3 linked regions of the Mus musculus genome follow. The protein of the gene in region 3 interacts with the protein of the main gene of each other region in a pairwise test. Links are inferred from orthologs where the notes say so. Each region holds a gene or a part of one and is shown on either strand. Other genes may lie near its edges.

The links. The genes of interacting proteins can lie anywhere in the genome.
Region 1: the proteins of Wipf1 (region 3) and Wwp2 interact in binary tests that used the Homo sapiens proteins (3 or more experiments, as listed by UniProt). The two-hybrid records come from large-scale screens. The link is inferred for Mus musculus from reciprocal best matches to the Homo sapiens genes WIPF1 and WWP2.
Region 2: the proteins of Wipf1 (region 3) and Fastk interact in binary tests that used the Homo sapiens proteins (3 or more experiments, as listed by UniProt). The two-hybrid records come from large-scale screens. The link is inferred for Mus musculus from reciprocal best matches to the Homo sapiens genes WIPF1 and FASTK.

Annotation. Positions count from the first base shown.
Region 1 is NC_000074.6:107,434,775-107,439,209, reverse strand, and holds the start of Wwp2 (NEDD4-like E3 ubiquitin-protein ligase WWP2), read right to left. Parts: upstream 2,841-4,435; 5' UTR 2,769-2,840; intron 61-2,768; exon of another isoform or gene 1-60. UniProt on the Homo sapiens protein: E3 ubiquitin-protein ligase which accepts ubiquitin from an E2 ubiquitin-conjugating enzyme in the form of a thioester and then directly transfers the ubiquitin to targeted substrates.
Region 2 is NC_000071.6:24,442,396-24,446,632, forward strand, and holds the start of Fastk (fas-activated serine/threonine kinase), read right to left. Parts: upstream 2,841-4,237; 5' UTR 2,753-2,840; coding exon 2,671-2,752; exon of another isoform or gene 2,192-2,670; intron 2,001-2,191; exon of another isoform or gene 1,911-2,000; coding exon 1,500-1,910; intron 1,157-1,499; exon of another isoform or gene 1,111-1,156; coding exon of another isoform or gene 1,062-1,110; coding exon 882-1,061; intron 749-881; coding exon 609-748; intron 1-608. Other genes in the region: Tmub1 (transmembrane and ubiquitin-like domain-containing protein 1 precursor), read right to left, coding at 3,527-3,878, 4,139-4,237. UniProt on the Homo sapiens protein: Phosphorylates the splicing regulator TIA1, thereby promoting the inclusion of FAS exon 6, which leads to an mRNA encoding a pro-apoptotic form of the receptor.
Region 3 is NC_000068.7:73,435,438-73,439,093, reverse strand, and holds part of Wipf1 (WAS/WASL-interacting protein family member 1), read left to right. Parts: intron 1-1,402; coding exon 1,403-2,140; intron 2,141-3,656. UniProt on the Homo sapiens protein: Plays a role in the reorganization of the actin cytoskeleton. Contributes with NCK1 and GRB2 in the recruitment and activation of WASL.

The DNA.
Region 1 (4,435 bases), on a different chromosome or scaffold from region 3:
CCGTTTTGTAAGGACAGAAGGAAAACTACCCTGGAAAAATAAAATGGAAGTTGTACTTTAAAAAAAAAAAAAAAAAAAAAAAAGAAACTTTTTATCGCTTCTATGAATTAAAAGTAATAGGTCTAAGAAGAACAGACCTAGGTTATAGAGAAAGTGGCTCATTGGGTAAAGGTGACTGCCAGCAAGCCTGACAACTGGAACTCAGTTCCCAGGACCCATAGAAGGAGAGAGCCAACTCTTGCATTTATTTACTAGTTCCAGAATCTAATATCAGGACTTCAGTAAGCCTCAGTTCTTCATCTGTGAATGAAGCAATGCAACCTTCAGAGATCTGGAAATGAATGAGACGAGACGCTGAGCCAGGCACAATGGTGAATGAAGGCCTGCGACCCCAGGTCTTGGAAGGTAGAGAATCTATCGTAAGTTCCTCCACAACATAACCAGTTTGAGGCCAGCCTGGGCTAAAACCTACCTTCTATCAAAAAGCTAAAAGACCCTGTCTCAGAGAGAAAGGGAGGGGAGGGGGGAGAAGGGAGGGGAGGGGACTGGCTGGACCGGACAGGGAGAGAGGTTGAGCATAGTAAATAGCGCACAGCTTTAATCCCAGCACTTGGGAGGTAGAAACAGCTGGATCTTTATGAGTTCTAGGCCAGCCAGGTCTACACAGTAAAACTTTTGTCTCAAATAAATAACCAAAATAAAAATAAATGAGAATCTGGTATCAGTTCTTTGCAGATGGGGATGTAGTCACTAAATGAAAGACTAAGATAGACCTGGTGGTATTGGCCTCAAATCCTAACTACTGTTGTGTTGGAGGCAGAAGGATCACAAGTTCAAGGCCTGCCTGAGCTACAGGAGTTTGAGGCCACCCCAGGCAACTTACTGAGAGCCTGTCTCAAAAGGAAAAAAATAAAATAAAAAATTACAAAAAGAAGGGAAGTGGGAAGGTGCAATGTTCAACAACAACAAAAAATTAAGAGACTGACAAGCCAACTGAAGCCTTCTCCTCATGGTTCTGGCTTTCCATAGACCAGTAACACTAAACAGAGAAAGGGACGGGAAACTTATGCTCTAACCCCTTGTTCTCCACATACACCGAGCAGTGTGACCTTTAAAAACTCATTTACTTCTCAAACACTGACCAAGTACTCCTAACATACCAGGCCTGGGGCTAGTAGCCAAAGAAGTCAGGTAAAATAAGATCACTGCCCTTGAATGATTTACAGTCCTAGCAGGAAGACAGTAAACAAGGAAGAAAAACAAAATGAGGATGTCAGGCAGGCTGAGACTAAAGAGATGCAGGCGAAAGCACTCACTGCTCTTCCACGGGACCAAAGGTCAGTTCCCAGCATGCAAATCCAGAGGCTCACAACCACCTGTATCTCTAGCTCCAAAGGACCCAATGCTCTGTCTGTCCTTGGTGGGCACATACACACAGGAACATACACACAAATAAAAATACATCTTTTATTTTAAGTCAATTCTCTTAGCTTGTTATCTATAAAGTGTGAATGACTTCTCGAGACTGCTACAAAAATTAACTTTTAAATGCTTATAATATACCCCCCAAGTCTTCAACTCCTAATATATTAATGCAAAGTGCTTTTTCCCCCCTAGCGACCTGTGATTCTGGCTCCTGTCAATGTCCCATTTGAACCCTGACCTTCGTTGCATTCATAAACTTTGCTTCACTTCTGCAAACCTTAGCAAAAGTGAAGGGAAAAGAGGGTGGCCTGTTTGTTTATTTAGGCTGGCTTGGAACTTGGAGCCATCTTCAGGCCTAGGCCTAGAGGATGAAGAATCTTAAGATGGGTATTTTTAACCTCAAAAACTACGATCTAGGTCACAGTTCTAAGGAACACAAGAGAAACTTCTCAGTCACCCCACCTAGTCACAGCTGGTCAAGATAAGCAGTCACATGGTAAAGGAAGCTGCATAATTTAAGCTTGAGAGGTCTCAAATCGGTATGGGCAGACTTTCAACTGTCCATGACTTCAGCAGTCAATGCGTTGCTGAGGTAACGCCGGCCCAGGTCGCCAACAACAGTGTAGGTTAAAAGTCTTGTTATGATCACAGCAAAGCACCTACACGTCTTTTTTTTTTTTTTTTTTTTTTTTTTTTTGGTGGCCTCCAAGATGACCCGATCCGGGAGCATCTCAAAGAAAGACGATCTGATGGGCAAGGTTCCCAACAAGTGGAAACCCTACCCAAACAGGGCAAAGTGGGTGTGACCAGAGTCAGACGATCAAGACTCAGGGATCCCTCCTGAAGTTTAAAGAACTGAACAGAACCGGTATCAAAGTCCCGGATCGCCATCCTTTTTAAAGAGGACGGAAGGAAAAAAGACTCTTGGAATGGGGTCCAGGCCGCATCGTCCAGATTTTTTTCTCCCTGTCCCTACAAGCCAGACGCCCACTCCCAGGCAGCCCCTTCCAGGGAGCAAATGAGTCTTCCCCGGCTGAGGTCGGGCCCCCTTCCCAGACAGACACGGCTCCTCCGCACCGCAGGCACCCGGGGCTGGGGGTCTCCTTCCGGAAGCGCCACCAGCGGGCGACTCCCGCCGGGCCCCGCGCCCACCCCGCCCGGGCGCGAGCCGGGACATCCCTCCTCGGAGGCCGGAACCGCGCGCCAGGCCCCTCCCACAGGAAGCCGCCGCCCCCCGGCGCCCGCCCCGCGCCGCCCCCGGCCCCTCGCGCCGCCCGCCGCCCCCTGGCTGCCCCGCGCCGCCCGCTCGCTGCCGAGCCCCCCAGTGCCCCCGCGCCACCTACCTGCCGCGGCCACACCAGCGGCGCCTAACTCCGCTCCACTTCCGCCTTCCAGCGCCCGCACTCGGGCCGGGTCACGTGGGCGTGCGCGGTCACCTGACCCGGAAGAGGCTGGCCGGGGCGCGCAGGTGCGGACCACCTAGGACCCGGGCGGCGAGCGTTTGACCCGCTCAGGGCCGGGATTGCAAGGATCACCCGGGCTGTGCCCGAGCAAACGTATAAAATAAGGGCTCACCGGGCCCCGGGGTCTTTATGTATGCCTTTGGAAGCAAGTACAGTTGTTTTCCCGCCATGGTACAGGTGGGAGAAGACCATCCGATCAGTTAAGTCAAGTCTTGAAGGAGTTGCTGGATAAAAAACAGTACGCTCCCCCCCTCCAAACTTGAGTGTCAGATAAACCGTGTAACTCTAAGCATGTCCCCAAATTTGCAAAGGATGTTTTGGTACCACAGATGTATACTGATCAAACTTGAGCATCCCATGTAATGTCGTTAGCTTGTGCCAACTCTGTAAGGCCTTGTTCTCAGTTCTAGAAGTATAAATGCCCTGGCCTTTGTAAGGCATCTGTTGTTCCAAGAAGCAAAACTGGAAAGAGGGACGGGAGTGGAGCATGGGACATGACACACGACAACCTGACACCCTTTCAAAACTTCCGGAGTCCCTACGTGTCTTCCCCATGGGGAACCAACTCCCATCCCCCCCCCCCCGCTCCCCTCCCCTACGGAGTAAACTGAACATTATGAATTAACAAACAGGGAATCTATGTAAGTAACCCTGGCTGACCTGGAACCCAGCGCTGTCCTTGGCCACCTGATTCCTGGCATTGTAGACATACCTCACCGTAGCCTGGACAACAGAAACTTTCTGGGTTTTGCAAGATTGACAGTTGAACGTGACTAGTCCAGGGCGTCCCAACTGACCTATGTTCCCAGCCATTTTGCTTCCTTTCTGGTTTTTATTTGGAACAGGGTCTTATTTTAAATGCTCCAACTGGCCAAGAACTTTTAATTCCATTGCCTTAGCTTCTGAGTAGTTAGGATTACCAGTTTATACCATTGGGGTGGAGGGTTAGGGGTGAGAGAGGAGACAGGTGGGGCAAGATTTTATGTAACCTAGGCTGGCATCCACCACCGAGTTAATTGTTCTGATTACCTGGATTTTTGTTGGGTTTTTGTTAACTGAAATATTACATTTTCATTTGTATTTTATTACATAGATGTTTCTCTTGAAGTGTATCTGTGTACCACCTGTGTGTCCGGTGTCTTTGCTGTGGGGTATCTACCAAGAGAAAGTCTTTATTAGCCACCCTGTGACTACACTGGGTGTTCAGGATCCCTGTGTAGTATCAAGCCTTTCTCGGGGCGAGGTTTTAAGCGCAAAATTCGCGTCCTGGGTCGACATGCTCCAGTTAGCAGAAACAGCAACAGAACTACAGAAGCCAAAAGGCGAGATGAATGCATCTAGAGACTTTCCCAGAACTGGGGACTTTGGTGGATTATGTCTCTGTTTTCTTTCTTTCTCTCTTTCTTTCTTTAAGATTTTATTTATTTATTATTATAAGTACACTGTAGCTGTCTTCAGACACACCAGAAGAGGGCGCCAGATTCCATTATGGGTGGTTGTGAGCCACCATGTGGTTGCTAGAATTTGAACTCAGGACCTTCGGAAGA
Region 2 (4,237 bases), on a different chromosome or scaffold from region 3:
CTGCAGAAAAAGGCAACATTATCCAGCAGGAAACTCCGCTCTGTGTCTTTCTTACTTTCTCCCATTTGAGACAGGGTCTTTCTATGTCTCTAAAGCTAACCTGGAACTTGCTATGCAGACCAGGCTGGCCTCGAACCCAGAGTCTCCTGCTACTGCCGCTGTGCCAGGATTAAAGGCACATGCCACTATGCCAAGCTCTCTGGCATGTTTGATAGGTACAACCTCAGGGAGGCCTGGTTGAGTCAGTAATTGCTTTCAAGGCAGAATGCCCTCCGTATCAGCACATGCCCCAAGTTCTGCAGCTTAAGCAGTGTCTTGAGCTACATATCATAGTAGGAACATAACTGTGGGGTATGGCTCACAGGACTAGAGCAGAACTAAGCAGCTATGCAGGAGCGTTGGAAAGTTTCAAGGCCTTAGACATACTACTCTACTGATTATGGGAGTTGGAAAACCAGTGAGCAAGAGACAGATGTCCTGGGGTAAGGAACACAGCCTAGCTGGAATGCTTGCTCCAGGAGAAGCCAAACAAGCTGGATAGGGGCTGGGCCTGACCAAGTTGCTAAGGACAACTCAGAGAAACGTGGAAGGGTGGGGGGCCAGCCCACCTTGCTGTTGAGCTGGGCTTCCTGAACCACCAGGAAATGAGCAATGGCTTCCAGAAGTTGGGGTTCCCGCAAGCGGTGCCGGGCCAGGTGTTGGGCCAGAAGCACCATTACGTGAGGAGTCAGTTCTTCTGGCCTTGCCTCTGTGAAGAACAGCCTGTCATACAGTGTCTTCAAGGAAGACTCCTGTGGGCTAGATTGCACTCTAGCCCAGGTGGTTCATCCCAGTGGCTTCATCTCATCCCTTGCCTCCCTTCTGCCTTTAACCCTTGGCACCTGCCAGGCTTCTGATCAGATGCTGACGAGGGTACTGCAGGAAACGGGGGCAGCTCAGGGCCACTTCCAACCTTTGACCACCATAGATGGCAGGCCGATGTGGGGAGGGTGGCTTTGGAGGGAGACGGGACCTGCGCTCCTGCTCGAGGGCACACAGGAGTGGTCCATCTGATGGAAAGCCTGAGAGAGGGATGAAGACCATCCTGGTAAGAGAGCTGGGGTGTGCCATCTTGCCAAGTGGAGTGAATGAGTCCCCAAATTCCTTGTCATCGTTTCTTGAATGGGAAAATACTTGTTTCAGTGGAGTGATTTGGTATCATGTGAGCATGATGTATCAACAGTGTGTGGGGAAAGCCTTATACAAAAGTCACCTTGTGCCGAGTATAACAGACTATACGTCTGTGGCTCCCTAGAGCACTGTATTAGGAAGAACCTAGTACCCGGCAGTTAGAAAGATGCTGCTTGACTTGGACATCCACCATGGATACAGAGAGCAATCAGCAAATGTGCTTGGGGAGGTGAATGGGAACATGAGTTTTATCAATGGCTTGGGTCCTCTACTGCTCTCTCTTCCTCTATTCTTCCCGAAACACCCACACCTTCCAATACCCTCCTCACCAAGTAACACTGCAAGGTGGAGACACACATGGATGGTGTGAACGTCAAAGGAGGGGCAGTTTCGGATGATGAGCTGACTCAAGTCCTGCAGTGTGGCCTGCTCCACAGGAGAGGGCCTAGGCTGAGACACCAAGAGCTGGCCCAGACGCCGGAGTGCCACAGGGTAGTGATGAGCTCGCACCTTGGTGGGGTTCTGGCTCAGCCATCGCAGTAGCTCCCCAGGGCTCCGTGCCTGTTCCAGAAGCCGTTGAAGGCCTTGCACAGGGCCTCCTCCAAAAGGCCGGTCCCCGGACTTGCTGGGTCCCAAACAACAGGGCTGTACTGGTGGGATGAGCAGCAAACCAGACAGCCGAGCAGGGGAAGTCTGGGCAGAGAGCAGGATTCGAAGCATGGAGCTGGGTGGTGGAGACCCTGAGGGGGTGGCCCAGAAAACCAGGTGAGGTTTCCTCCAAGGGGAAAAATATGCTATCTAGTCCTTACCTGACTCCCCATCCAAAGGGCCTGAAGTTTAAAAAAAAAAAAAATCCCGTGTGATTGCCCTGGTATTCTTACCCAGTCTGCCCCTCTTCTCCCATTCCTTGACACAGAAACCCTAATTCTTTAAGTGTGCTCAGTGCAATTCTATTCACATTTCACATGCATATCGCCTTCGATGCTCCGTGCAAGCTGATGAGGAGTCTCAGGGCTGTTACCTCATTTCTCAGGCGGAGAAACAGGCCCAGAGCGGCGGAGAGGTTAAGCCTGAGGTCATTCACAGGGCTAGTGGTCGCACCCAGCCTGGGAGCCCCGGTGGTCCGGGCGATGAGCCCTGAAGACCACCTCCCCGTCCCGCAGGAGGCGGCGGCGGCGGGGTGGGTGGAACGCAGGCTCAGTAGCGGGCCGGTGCTGGGTCCCATGCTGGGCGCTCCCACTTACCAGCTGCGTGACCTTGAACTAATGTCTTCGCCTCTCTGCCTAAGCCTCCTCACTAGTGAAATGAGAACACAGCGCAAGCTCGCGGGGCGCGCGCCGAGCCCGAGTGAGCTATCTGCCAAGGCGCGGAGCTGATGCTGTCCGCGGGAGGGGCCCCCACACCCTGTCCCGGCCCCAAGAGGCGAGCAGCCCGTGGTCACCACCACTAACACCAGCTCCCGCCGCCCTCCCGAGGTCCGCCCCTCAGGCGCCACCCTACATGACTCCCCGGGCCCCGCGTAGGTCACTCTCTCAGCTGGTCTTGGGGCCCGGGAGCCGGGCTCCCCCCGCGGCCTCCTCATCAGCGGGCCACCGAGTCCGCCATCTTCCCAGCAGCCCCCGGATCGCCCCCAGACGCCAATCGCAGTCCAGCGCCAGGGCGGCGGAGACGTGGCTCCCAGCAGGCGCTGCGAGCAGAGGAGCCGCGAGCCCCGCCCTCCGCTTCCGGGAAATGCGCACGTCGCGGGGGCGGGGCCACAGAGCTTGCGCTGAAAGGTGCCGGGAGTGGCGGTCCTCTGTCCAGCCCTGGGGTAGCTTGAGCACTCAGGACCTAGGGCAGGTTCCATTCTCGTAGAACAAGGGCTCCCCACCCTCAAGCAACACACAGACACACTGGGTAGGAAAACGTCACAGTTTCTTTAATCTGCACAAATTCCAGAAAACAACTCTGCCCCTCTCGATTCCCCTTCACCAGTCTCCCAGTCCACCAGTTTCCAATTCAGCCTAGGCAGCTCTTTGAAACTAGAAGTATCTAGATCCTCTGTCAGCACACTAAGATGGGCCCATTGGGGTGCCCTGGCGGCCAAGGCAGCGACAGCAAGTGCCTGATCCAGAAGAGCCCACTGCCAGCGAAGGCTGAGGTCCAGCAGCCCCAGGAGATGGCCTAGAGCTATGAAGATCACACGGAGCGGCCTCCGCTAACACCCGAAGTCCTCTGCGGCGCAAAGCTGGGCTCCAGGGTAGTGGGAAAAGACAGGCAGCGGGTGAAGTGGGCCTGGGCAGACAGCAGCTCCCTTTGCGCCTTGGGGAATGAGGTCCAGAGGGGCTGGCTACACTGCCAAAAGCCCGTGGAGGCACTACGGCCGATACATGGCAAAGGCCAGGAGACTGAGGAGCAGGGTGAAGCCGGCCAGACCCAGGGTAGCGGTCAGGGGAAAGAAGGGCCGGTACTGGATCTGGCAGTACCAGAGCAGGAGCAGCAGCAGAAGCAGCAGGGGCAACAGAAGGCTGCCGATTTCCAGCCCGGAGGGGCCGGGCTCTGACCCCGGTGGGCAGGGAGGATGTGGGGGACCGACTCTCGTGGACACGTGGCAGTGGAGAACGCAGTTGGGGGGCAGGTGGAGACTGCCTAGTGTCTGAGTGTCGTCTCCTAGCAGTTGACCTTGGTAGATGAGCCGAACCTGCTGTTCCTGGCCTGGAAACTGGGTCCTGAGGAGAGAGGGACCTGGGTAAGAGAGCAGGCCTCAGGCAGTCCTGGCCCATTGTTCAGAGGACCAATCCCAATTTTCACCACCCCTACACCTGACCACCCAGATCCTGGCCTCTGGGGGACAGATTAACAGGAATGGTGTATAATGTGAGGAGACAGATTTTTCAAACAGAAAATAAGGGAGAGCTTCATAGGGTGACCCTTCTATAGACACCCACCCCATTTTTAGCATTTTGTTCTTACCCTCTTCCCAGCTTACCTTTTTAAGGAGCCAATGGTGTCCTGAGGCCAGGCCCTGGCTACCTGCTCAGAGTCATTGAGAAATTTCAACCGTAGAAGTAGGGGTTCCTGCGGAGAG
Region 3 (3,656 bases):
AATTTGGAAGACATAGCGTAAGCCAGTGGGCAGGATTATACCACCTACTCCCTCTACCTGAAGTGTGCACTGCCTCGTCTTCCCAACGCTGGCTACTTGTTAGGCCTCCACTCACAACCTCTCCTCAGGGGCACCACTGTCTGCAGCTCCCCCACCAGGCCTGGCCCCTCTGAGCACTCTTGATCGGTCAGCTTCCTTTCTGTGCTAACAACTATTAGACAAGGCTTCTTCACTTGCATATCATTTGTTTCCCATAAGAACAGAAAAGACAGGAAAGAGAACTGTTTTTATTTTGCTCATCCAGCTGTTTCTAACATCTAGGAAAATGGGTGTGCGGTAAATATTTGTGTGTTACTTAATTCCTGGTTAAAGTGGAAGATGTTTCCATGGTAACCATTTTTTTCAAGAATGACCTTGTGGGACTGGAGAGGCAGCTCAGGTGTTGAGAGCAGCGGCTGCTCTCTCAGAGGACCTGGCCTTGAGTCCCAGCACCACATAGCAGCTGACAGTTCTCTGTAACTCTAACCCCAGAGGATCCAACACCCTCTTCTGGCCTGCAAGGGCACTGTAAAACATCTGGTGCATGAAGGCAAAACACCCATAATCATAAAATAAAAATAAATGAATGTTAAAAAAAAGAATTAACTTGGGTTTCCAATTTGGGGAGAGGCTGTTGAGAGCCCCTCCTCTCTCCCCCACTTAGTCCCTCCTTAAACCATAGTTTAGTGTGACCAAATTCCACTACACTTGTTTCAGCAAGTGTTACAGAGTTGTTACATCTTCCCAATACTGAGGGTTGGCCTAGTCCTGAGAAGACGCTTGCCTACTTTGCAATGAAGTTCTTACTCATACAAAGTTTTCCTTTCTAATTATTTTTAATGTAGTCATAATTCTTCACTAAATCCTTCCCACTCCACCCCACCCACATTTATTGAACTTTTTTTTTTTTTTCTCAAAGGGACTAGATAAACCCTCACACACAGAGAGAGACTTTCTTTGGAGTAACTCCATTCACACACCTAAGATGGCTGACTGAACATTTTTTTCCCCCAAATCTGAGCAGTGGGCTCAGGGAGATCCATGACAGCCATTAGCAGAAGCAGAAGGTTCTCCATGCTGCCCTGTTCTGTCTTCTAGTCACAGCGACATTTCCAGAACTATAGCAGGTGATGCGGTATTGCATGCTTTTGAAACTCTGGCTGTAAAACCAGTGCCTGATAAATAGAGCTATATCTCCGCCTCCAGGAGATGGACACCAACATATCAAACAATTTGTTTTATTATAAAGCTACTAGTTACTGGTAATCAGTGCTCAGTGGGAAAGGGCCAGCACGCACCCTTGCCCTCTGGGTTTTGGGGGGCTCCTCACTTTTCAATCCGTATCCGCTTTCTTGTTCTTTAGATTCTGGAGGAAGCCGACCACCGATTTTGCCACCGGGAGGAAGAGCCACATCTGCCAAGCCCTTTTCACCCCCGAGTGGCCCGGGGAGGTTTCCCGCACCCTCCCCAGGCCACAGGAGTGGGCCCCCAGAGCCACCCAGGAACAGAATGCCTCCCCCGAGGCCTGACGTGGGCTCAAAACCAGATAGCCTTCCCCCTCCGGTACCAAATACGCCAAGACCTGTTCCGTCGAGTCTGCACAACCGGGGATCCCCAGCAGGGCTGGGAGCCCCCAGGCCCCCCTTTCCCGGGAACCGAGGTGCTGCTTTTGGAGCAGGCTCTGCGCGCCAGAACCCCTCCGGCTCCTCCTCTCCGTTTCCTAGGCCCCCTTTGCCCCCCACCCCAAGCCGAGCCTTGGATGACAAGCCCCCTCCACCACCTCCTCCCGTGGGCAACAGGCCCTCCATGCACAGAGAAGCGGTGCCCCCTCCCCCCTCACAGACCAGCAAACCTCCAGTGCCTTCCACCCCGCGGCCTGGGTTGGGTTCGCAGGCACCACCTCCTCCTCCACCGCCCAGCCGGCCAGGGCCCCCTCCTCTGCCTCCAGCTTCCAACGACGAGATCCCCAGGCTGCCACAGCGGAACCTGTCCCTCACGTCCTCTGCACCTCCATTGCCTTCACCTGGACGCTCAGGGCCTCTCCCTCCCCCACCCAGCGAGAGGCCCCCTCCTCCTGTAAGGGATCCACCAGGCAGATCAGGTATGGCAACGCGGGGATGTCACCTCTCTAAAACCCTGCTCTTGCTCTCCCAAATGTCTCAAACAAAACTGAGTAAAGCCATGTATGCTGCCCCATACCGATGGTCTAATGTCATGGTGGAGCCGTGACCTCTCAAGAAAGGGGCCAGATAGTTTGTGTCTAAGAGGCAAGCAGACTTTCATCTTCCACCGGGCCCTGCTCCCTAATGGGAAGCTGGGTTGTCTTGGTTGGAAGTAAGTCCCCATGAGAGTGCCCATAATGCCAAAGACAAAGCAGTTACATCACAACCGGAATGAACTCTTTCCCTCTCCCTAGGCCAGGCTGAGTCTACATCTCTGCCCACAGTGCAGGCGAGCTGGAGAGGTGGCATGTTCAGAGGTCAGGAGCACTTCTAGCAGTGGAAACAAATACCTGGACAAAAGCCTGTAGCTCGGCTCAGAGAGCTGCGGGAGCCCCAGGCTCAGGAGGAAACGTACATCTTATTTAGAAAGTGGTTTCAAATGTGTTGGTAATACACACACACACACACATACATATATATATATGTATATGTATATGTATACACACACACACACACACACACACACACACACACACATATATCTTTATTTTATATCTAAGTATTTTTGAGACAGGCCCTCACATGTAACCCTGGTTAGCCTGGAACTCAATTTGTAGACCAGGCTAGCCTTAAACTCATAGAGATCCACCTCTCTCTGCCTCTGGAGTGCTGGATTGTATGTAATACTTTTAGTTTGCCTTTTCAGTTATTGCTCCTGGCACTGTTGTGACCAAGGTGACAACTACCTTATTCTTGGTAGACAGGGACCCACGCTCCACTGCCAAGAGCATACCCAGGAGCCGGACCCACCACCTACTGTCTGTAATGGGAGAGTAAGATCAGTGGTTTCTCATTTCCTGTGCCTCTCTACCCACCCACCCACACACATACTACACACACACCACACACACATAAACACAACCAACACTCACACATACATACAACCACACACACACACAGAGGAAAATACTGTACATGTAAAAACTTAGTACTGGAGCCAGCAAGGCAATGGGCTCAGCCAGTAAGGATATTTGTGGCCCATGCCTGACGACCTGAGTTTGACCCCTGGAATCCAGGTGAAGATGTAAGGCAAAAGTAAACTTTCTAAAGCTGCTCTCTGAACTCCATATGTGTGACATAGTGTGTGCACACATATACGCACAAATAATTTACATTTTTATTTTATTATATATGTGTGTGTATTGGTTTTGAGACAGGGTTTCTCTGTGTAGCCCTGGCTGTTCTGGAACTCTGTAGACCAGGCTGGCCTCAGAAATCTGCCTTGCCTCTGCCTCCCAAGTGCTGGAATTAAAGGCACGCACCACCACTGCCTGGTTTTAAATTTTTTAAAATCTAGAAATCTTAATTTTTCTAAAGGCCTAAACTAACTTTATAAGTATCTCACTCCTTTTAAACAATTCTTTTGTGGTATCGCAATAATTAGTTCAGTAAGTC